2 linked regions of the Saccharomyces cerevisiae S288C genome follow. Changing the gene in region 1 together with any one later gene gives a genetic interaction. Each region holds a gene or a part of one and is shown in the gene's direction. Other genes may lie near its edges.

Region 1 (4,703 bases):
CAATCATTAACTTTGGACGGGGATGGCGCAAGCTTCTTTTCGCCTGAATTTAGATCTACACTAAAGAACAATAAGATCCCCCAAAATGTCGTTGCTGATGTCGGCATTGGCTCCATTATCAGCTTGCGTCATCTCTCTACCATGGGCGGTTATTTGCATTCTCATTCACACAATTATCCAGCTGGTTCGGAACAACAACAAAGCACTTTATATCCTCACATGGATGCCAATAACGATTGGTTGTTGGAACTTTACAACGCACCCGGCGAATCTTTAACAACATTCCAAAACCTAACCGATGGTACCAAGGTCAGACTATTCCACACTGTTACAAGATGTAGATTACACTCTCATGACCATAAGCCACCCGTTTCAGAAAGCAGCGACTGGCAGAAGGAGGTTTCTTGTTATGGTTACAGCGGATTCGACGGTGATGCTAATGATGACTGGGTTGTTGAGATTGATAAAAAGAATTCTGCTCCTGGAGTTGCCCAAGAACGGGTCATAGCTTTGGACACAAAGTTTAGATTGAGACATGCTATGACAGGCTGTTATTTGTTTTCCCACGAAGTCAAGTTGCCAGCTTGGGGGTTCGAACAACAAGAAGTTACCTGTGCCTCCTCCGGTAGACATGATTTAACATTGTGGTACGTTGAGAACAACAGTAACCCATTGTTACCAGAAGATACCAAGCGTATTTCCTATAAACCTGCAAGCTTCATTTCTAAATTTATTGAATCCCATAAAAAGATGTGGCATATCAATAAAAATTTGGTCGAACCTCATGTTTATGAATCACAACCAACTTCATGGCCATTCTTGCTACGTGGTATAAGTTACTGGGGTGAAAATAACAGAAACGTCTATCTATTAGGTAATGCGATCGTATGGTGGGCTGTCACCGCTTTCATCGGTATTTTCGGATTGATTGTTATCACTGAGCTGTTCTCGTGGCAGTTAGGTAAACCAATTTTGAAGGACTCCAAGGTTGTTAACTTCCACGTTCAGGTTATTCACTACTTATTGGGTTTTGCCGTCCATTATGCTCCATCTTTCTTAATGCAACGTCAAATGTTTTTGCATCACTACTTACCTGCTTATTATTTCGGTATTCTTGCCCTTGGCCACGCCTTGGACATAATAGTTTCTTATGTTTTCCGCAGCAAGAGACAAATGGGCTACGCGGTAGTGATCACTTTCCTTGCTGCTTCTGTGTATTTCTTCAAGAGCTTCAGTCCAATTATTTACGGTACACCATGGACTCAAGAATTGTGTCAAAAATCGCAGTGGTTGTCTGGTTGGGACTACAATTGTAACACATACTTTTCTTCATTAGAAGAGTACAAAAACCAAACCTTGACTAAACGTGAATCTCAACCTGCCGCCACTAGTACAGTTGAAGAAATCACTATAGAAGGGGACGGTCCGTCGTATGAAGATCTCATGAACGAGGATGGCAAGAAAATCTTTAAAGACACAGAAGGTAATGAACTAGATCCAGAAGTTGTCAAAAAAATGTTGGAAGAGGAGGGAGCTAACATTTTAAAAGTAGAAAAAAGGGCTGTTTTGGAATAAATTTCCCAGTACTCTCCACATTTTTATGTAAAGTCTTCTATAAGCTCTCGAGCGTATAATTAAAAACGAAAATAGACAAAAAAAACATCATGAATAAAAAAAATGTCTTGAAGCTGACTATATTGTCCATCTGCGTTTAGAGACACGTATTCTATTTCGCTCAAATAAGTATGATCTGCAAGTAGTTTCAGTGGTATTATCATTTCGCACCGTTTTTTTTCCAAGAACTCGTTTACGTGCCGCGAAAAGTCTATCGAATAGGCATTCGAGAACAATAGAAAAGGAACAGAAGCGTAGTACATATTATGCATAGACCCGTTTCTTTTCTTCTTTTTCGAAAATATTCTTATTGATTTAACAATTAAGCAGGTGTGTAAGATCATAACTGCTTTAAAGATGAATAAAGAGCATTTGCTGAAGGTGGATCCCATCCCCGATGTGACTATTAAACGCGGCCCTTTGAGGTCTTTTCTCATAACAAAACCCTGTGATAATTTGAGTTCATTACGAACAGTTACTTCATCTAAGGAAAAGCTTCTAGTTGGCTGTTTGCTGATATTTACTGCCATCGTAAGGCTACACAATATCTCCCTGCCAAATAGTGTTGTTTTTGGTGAAAATGAAGTTGGTACATTTGTTTCTCAATACGTGAACAACATATTCTTCACCGATGTTCATCCTCCTTTAGTGGCAATGCTATATGCAACCGTGTCCTCTGTTTTTGGTTATAAAGGGCTTTTCAATTATGGGAACATTGGTACTGAATACACGGCAAACGTTCCATACGTCGCGATGAGGTTCTTTTCTGCTACTTTGGGCATCGTGTCCGTTTTGGTATTATACTTAACGTTACGAGTTTCTGGCGTGAAAATTGCGGTAGCTGCCATTTGTGCAGTATGTTTTGCAATTGAAAACTCCTTTGTAACGTTGTCTCGTTTCACCTTGATAGAGGGACCCTTTGTTTTTTTCATGGCATGTGCAGTTTATTTCTTTAGAAGATCGGAACTTTATTTGCCAAATTCATGTAAAGCAAACAAGTCATTACTTGCTGCGAGCATTGCATTGGGATTTGCAGTTTCTTCAAAATGGGCTGGCCTCTTCACCATCGCATGGGCTGGTATTATTGTCCTTTGGAGAGTATGGTTCATGATTGGTGATTTGTCAAGACCCATTGGTTCTTCTATCAAATATATGGCGTTCCAGTTTACCTGTCTATTAGCTATTCCTGCCTTCATCTATTTTCTCATTTTCAGCGTGCATATTAAGACATTAAACGTGAATGGTATTAGTAGTAGCTTTTTTCCCGCTGAGTTTAGAAAAACTTTAAAATACAACAACGTTATTAAAGAGACTGTGGCAGAAGTTGCAGTGGGTTCCGCTGTTTCACTGAATCATGTTGGAACGGCAGGTGGTTACTTGCATTCTCATCTTCACAATTATCCGGCTGGTTCCATGCAACAACAAGTTACTTTGTATCCTCACATCGACCAAAATAACAAATGGATTATTGAGCTGGCTGAACATCCAAATGAAAATGTCACAAGTTTCCAAAATTTAACCGACGGTACCATAATTAAATTAAGACAGCTTAAGAACGGCTGCAGGTTACACTCACATGACCACAAACCTCCAGTTTCTCAAAATGCGGATTGGCAAAAAGAGGTGTCATGTTATGGATACGAGGGCTTCGAAGGTGATATAAATGATGATTGGATAATTGAAATCGATAAAAAGAGATCAGAGCCGGGACCTGCCCAGGAACATATTAGGGCTATTGAAACCAAATTTAGGCTGAAGCATTATCTAACTGGTTGTTACTTATTTTCACATCCTGAAAAGCTACCTGAGTGGGGATTCGGGCAGCAGGAAGTTACGTGTGCATACTTTGCAAGGGAAGACTTAACTTCATGGTATATTGAAGAAAACGAAAACGAAATTTCTTTGCCAAATCCAGAGAAGGTTTCTTATAAGAAAATGAGCTTTTGGCAGAAGTTTGTTGCTATCCACAAGTTCATGTTCTACCTTAACAATTATATGGATACTAGTCATGCCTACTCATCTGAACCAAAGACTTGGCCTCTTATGTTGCGTGGTATTGATTTTTGGAATGAAAATGGCAGAGAGGTGTACTTTTTAGGTAACGCTGTTTTGTGGTGGTCTGTCACAGCATTTATTTGCACGTTCATCATTGGAGTGGCTGTTGAGCTTCTTGCTTGGAAATTAGGTGTGAATATTCTACGGGATAAGCACATCATAAATTTCCACTATCAGGTCTTTCAGTACTTATTAGGCTTTGCCGCCCACTATTTCCCTTACTTCTTTGTGGGGCAAAAGTTATTTTTGTACGATTATTTGCCGGCCTATTATTTTGGTATCCTAGCATTTGGTCATGCTTTAGACCTGATTTCAACCTATATTTCTAACAAAAGAAACAATACTGGATATATAGTGGTGGCTATTTTCATGGTTGTATGTTTCTATTTCTTCAGCGAGCATTCTCCACTTATTTATGCTACTGGATGGTCGAGTAACCTGTGTAAGAGGTCCAAGTGGTTAGGAAGCTGGGACTTTTATTGCAATTCACTATTACTATCCGATAGCCACTATGAATTAAACGCTGAATCATGATCCATCCACCCGTATTCAGATTGGACATTCGTTTAGCAAAAGATTTAAAAACTACATTTGAGCTAAACTGCGGGAAAGATCTACGTACATATGGAAAAGAACCAGATGTATATGAAAAAAGAGTTCATAACCGGTCACAATGCAACACTTTCCTATCTTGTTCTTTCGTTGAATTTCACTAAACAACTAACGAATACCAAAAAAATGATCCGTATTAAGTAATGTATATACATATATATTGTCAAATACAACAAGATATTTAATAAACAAAGAATAGATGAATTAGGATTGAACCGGTAAAAGGAAAGCTGTGAACATGGTATTTCTCTTATCGGGCTTTTCAAGATCACCACTGAGTGGCATTTTAAGCACATGAGGAGATGAACGTAGGCAGATCAAAACATTCAGCCGATGATAAAGACTACAACAGCTATTTGATTGTCTTTGCATAATCGCCCTAAATTGGAGGCTTCTACAAAACAACTAATTACATATTCTTA
Region 2 (4,644 bases), on another chromosome or scaffold:
CACACTGGGGTAAAAATCGGTGACCGTGTTGGTGTTGGTGCCCAAGCCTTGGCGTGTTTTGAGTGTGAACGTTGCAAAAGTGACAACGAGCAATACTGTACCAATGACCACGTTTTGACTATGTGGACTCCTTACAAGGACGGCTACATTTCACAAGGAGGCTTTGCCTCCCACGTGAGGCTTCATGAACACTTTGCTATTCAAATACCAGAAAATATTCCAAGTCCGCTAGCCGCTCCATTATTGTGTGGTGGTATTACAGTTTTCTCTCCACTACTAAGAAATGGCTGTGGTCCAGGTAAGAGGGTAGGTATTGTTGGCATCGGTGGTATTGGGCATATGGGGATTCTGTTGGCTAAAGCTATGGGAGCCGAGGTTTATGCGTTTTCGCGAGGCCACTCCAAGCGGGAGGATTCTATGAAACTCGGTGCTGATCACTATATTGCTATGTTGGAGGATAAAGGCTGGACAGAACAATACTCTAACGCTTTGGACCTTCTTGTCGTTTGCTCATCATCTTTGTCGAAAGTTAATTTTGACAGTATCGTTAAGATTATGAAGATTGGAGGCTCCATCGTTTCAATTGCTGCTCCTGAAGTTAATGAAAAGCTTGTTTTAAAACCGTTGGGCCTAATGGGAGTATCAATCTCAAGCAGTGCTATCGGATCTAGGAAGGAAATCGAACAACTATTGAAATTAGTTTCCGAAAAGAATGTCAAAATATGGGTGGAAAAACTTCCGATCAGCGAAGAAGGCGTCAGCCATGCCTTTACAAGGATGGAAAGCGGAGACGTCAAATACAGATTTACTTTGGTCGATTATGATAAGAAATTCCATAAATAGTCTATATACGTAATATTTTTCAGAATCTCTTAAAATGCATGTCAAATCTCGGAATTTATCATGACCCATTACATAACAAGAGAAAAGTGGTTTGCATTGTATGTATACCTTAAACCAATTCTTCGGTAGTCACATGACCTATATATAGGGACATTCATTTCTTGAATAGGATATTTCTTAAACTTAAGGGAAATTTTGATGAAAATTTAGAATCTCTCGACAACAGTGCAGAGCAGTAAGTTTTATTCAATACGAAATGTGTGCAGGGTTTTACCCATTCATGTCGAGTACGTCTACATTTGTTCTGCGATTTAACTTAATACTTAGCCTACTCATATGTATCGAAGCCAAACTATTAAATCTGAAAACTGAATACCCATTAAGTAGGTACATTAATGCAATTTTCGTCCGAAAGGTAGAGTGTTAATCATGCTTTTACTTCGAAATCTAGAGTCCGAGCATGTCTGATGAGGTCCTCTTAAAGCACTTCAATTTTAAAAGAGAAGAGCGCAAATTTTTACAAAGAATGCCTATATTAATATACTGTGCTATCTAAGAGGATGGTTCAATGGTTTGAAATGAGTTGAAAAATAAAGATTTACATAGTAGCGTGTATTCTTCACATTTTTGCATTCGGTAGATTTTCTACTCAAGACCCGTGCAGATCACTATTACACTCATTATTACAAGTCATTGAGAACGAAATTTTGACATCATTACTAATAATGTTACTCATTAATACTTTATTAATGTAAGCGGTAGATAAACAAATGAACATGAAATTGGCTGCTGAAATGCTCTGATGGATTCGATTACAGTAAAAAAACCTCGGTTAAGATTGGTTTGCCTGCAATGCAAAAAGATCAAACGGAAATGTGATAAACTGCGGCCTGCTTGCTCGCGATGCCAACAAAATTCATTACAGTGTGAATATGAAGAGAGAACAGATTTATCTGCCAATGTTGCAGCAAACGACTCTGATGGATTCAATTCCTCTCATAAGCTCAATTTCGAACAGCAACCTGTACTTGAAAGGACTGGGCTTAGATATTCCTTACAAGTGCCTGAAGGTGTCGTTAATGCTACGCTGTCGATATGGAACGCCGAAGATATGCTAGTTATAGTAGGATTAGTTACATTTCTGGATTATCCTTTTGCTGCGCATAGTCTGGCGCAACATGACCAGTATATCAGGGCACTTTGTGCTTCGTTGTACGGCATGGCGCTTGTTGACTTTAGCAATTATGCTAATGGTATTCCTTGTGAAGACACATCAAGAAGTATACTAGGACCATTGTCATTCATAGAAAAGGCCATTTTTAGACGGATAGAACATAGTAAGCAATTTCGAGTTCAGTCTGCCGCCTTAGGGTTATTATACAATGCATTTTCAATGGAAGAAGAAAACTTCTCGACTCTTCTACCGTCACTCATCGCTGAAGTGGAAGACGTGTTGATGCAAAAAAAAGACTGTGAAATACTTTTGAGGTGTTTCTATCAAAATATTTATCCCTTCTATCCTTTTATGGACATTTCACTCTTTGAGAGCGATCTCACTAGTTTGCTTTTACAAGACGACAATAATCGTTGGAAAATTAGTACTGAAGTTAAAAATGTGCGCAAAAAAATAGAAACTTTGTCATTACTTACAATAGTAATGGCCATGGCCTTGATGCATTCAAAATTGGATGCAAATCTTCTTTCAATGGTAAAAGAAAATGCCTCCGAAAGTGCCAGGAAACTTTCTCTTTTATGTCATAAACTATTATGCCTCCTGGATGTATTTCGCTATCCAAATGAGAACACTTTTACTTGCCTTTTATATTTCTACGTTTCAGAGCATTTAGATCCCGAGAGTCCCGATTGTGTACTGAGCCCCACTAACTTGCTTACTCTGCACCATCTTTTAAATTTGTCCATGACCTTAGGTCTTCAATATGAGCCTTCGAAGTACAAACGTTTCAAAGATCCAGAAGTGATAAGGCAGAGACGGATATTATGGTTAGGAGTTCAGTCATTACTTTTTCAAATTTCTCTTGCTGAAGGTGATGCTGGTAAATCAAATAGTGAATATATGGAGGCATATTTAACAGACTTCGAAGAATATATTGAAGCTTCCTCAGAGTATGAAAAAAGTTCTGCGAGTGAATCGAACGTGCAAATGAATGATATTGTTTGGAATAAGTACAAATTTCACGTCATTTTGAGTAAACTAATGTCTGATTGCACTTCAGTTATACAACATCCGCAGCTTTTCCACATTTTAGGAAATATTAAAAGATCTGAAGATTTTATGGCTGAGAACTTTCCTACAAGTTCGATTTACCAACCCCTTCATGAAAAGGAACCAAATGCGATCAAAGTTGGCAAAAGTACGGTTCTCGATGTCATGGATATTCAAAAAACTGAAATATTTCTTACAAATATTGTGGGAAGTATGTGTTTTTTAAACATTTTTGATGTCCTATCGTTACATTTTGAAAAAAAATGTGTTATGCACTGGGAAGAATATGAAAAGAACTATCATTTCCTTACTTTGAAAAGTTTCAATGCATACTTAAAGCTAGCAGGGTTGATATCTGATTATCTCGAGAATAAGTTTCAAGGGAACATTTTAGAGAGTCGCGGTTATATCATAGATAAACAAATATGTTTTATGCTTGTAAGGATCTGGATGTTCCAATGTCGTATTTTGTTAAGGTTTTCATACAAGCAAGAAAGTCAGAAAAAATTGGCCTCTTCCAGTATATCCACTAACGATAATGAAAAAGAAGATGAAATGATTGTCATTTTAGAAAGACTTATTAAACACATTCGTAACCAAATGGCACATTTAGTGGATCTAGCAAAGGGAAAACTTCAAGATAGTTACTTTGGTGCTTACCAAACTGTTCCCATGTTTAGATACGTTGTGTATTTGATCGATGTTGGCGGCTTAGTATCTGTGACAAATGGGTTTTGGGATAAGATTTCCAGTGATGGTGAAATACCGCCAAAAGTACAACAAGCCGTGAGATTGAAATGGGGATTGGACTGCAATAATTCGAGAAGAATCAAACAAAAGTTAATAAGCAGCCAGAGTTTGCAGAGTTTCAATCAAGTTCTGTTGTGCCAGATGGAGGATGCAGTTCTCTCCAGTTCCTTCGCAATAAAAGCCAATACCGCTATGTCCCAAAACACGGCTGAAGAATTTTTCAATATCAGCGAAGAAGAGGCTTTAAATCAACTATTGGAAAACAACAATTTTGATGCCTTCTGGGATTTATTAGGTGAAAATCTGAGCGATATGCCTTCTTTGTGAGAATACGGATATTTGGAAAGGCTAAAAAAAAAAAAACAAGCCAAAAACAAGAAACACTGTTATCCTCCACGTTTTTTCCACTGTTTTAAGACTCGACAAGACGGAAAGATTCCTCACATTTCGCAGTGTTTCTTTTAACCTGCTCGTCAATTTGAAAAAATGAGCATGGTTAGGCAGGCGGAATGTAATAGGTGCGGTGCGTATAAATAAGTATCTCGGCCGTTCCTCTATTGCGCTCGGCCGAGATGTCCTACATGCATAAAATAGATTAAAAAAAGGGATCACGATACTCAAATATGCATATAATAACAACAACACACTTTGCGGTAAATAGAAGGATAATATCGTAATCTTTTGCTGGTTTCGATGATGACTTGAAAAAATTCAATTACTCTTTCGATCATCTAGAAGAAGCATATCCATCGTGCTTAAAATGATTGGGTCCGCGTCCGACTCATCTAGCAAGTTAGGACGCCTCCGATTTCTTTCTGAAACTGCCG

Evidence for each region. A genetic interaction does not mean that the proteins touch.
Region 2: mutations in PMT5 (region 1) and RDS1 together harm fitness more than expected from each alone (negative genetic interaction), as found in Saccharomyces cerevisiae (one large-scale study listed by BioGRID).

What each region holds. Positions count from the first base shown.
Region 1 is NC_001136.10:287,938-292,640, forward strand, and holds PMT5 (putative dolichyl-phosphate-mannose-protein mannosyltransferase PMT5), read left to right. Parts: upstream 1-1,971; coding exon 1,972-4,203; downstream 4,204-4,703. Other genes in the region: dolichyl-phosphate-mannose-protein mannosyltransferase PMT1, read left to right, coding at 1-1,575. UniProt on the Saccharomyces cerevisiae protein: Protein O-mannosyltransferase involved in O-glycosylation which is essential for cell wall rigidity. Forms a heterodimeric complex with PMT3 and more rarely with PMT2 to transfer mannose from Dol-P-mannose to Ser or Thr residues on proteins.
Region 2 is NC_001135.5:309,313-313,956, forward strand, and holds RDS1 (Rds1p), read left to right. Parts: upstream 1-1,645; coding exon 1,646-4,144; downstream 4,145-4,644. Other genes in the region: ADH7 (NADP-dependent alcohol dehydrogenase), read left to right, coding at 1-843; AAD3 (putative aryl-alcohol dehydrogenase), read left to right, coding at 4,578-4,644. UniProt on the Saccharomyces cerevisiae protein: Zinc cluster transcription factor involved in resistance to cycloheximide.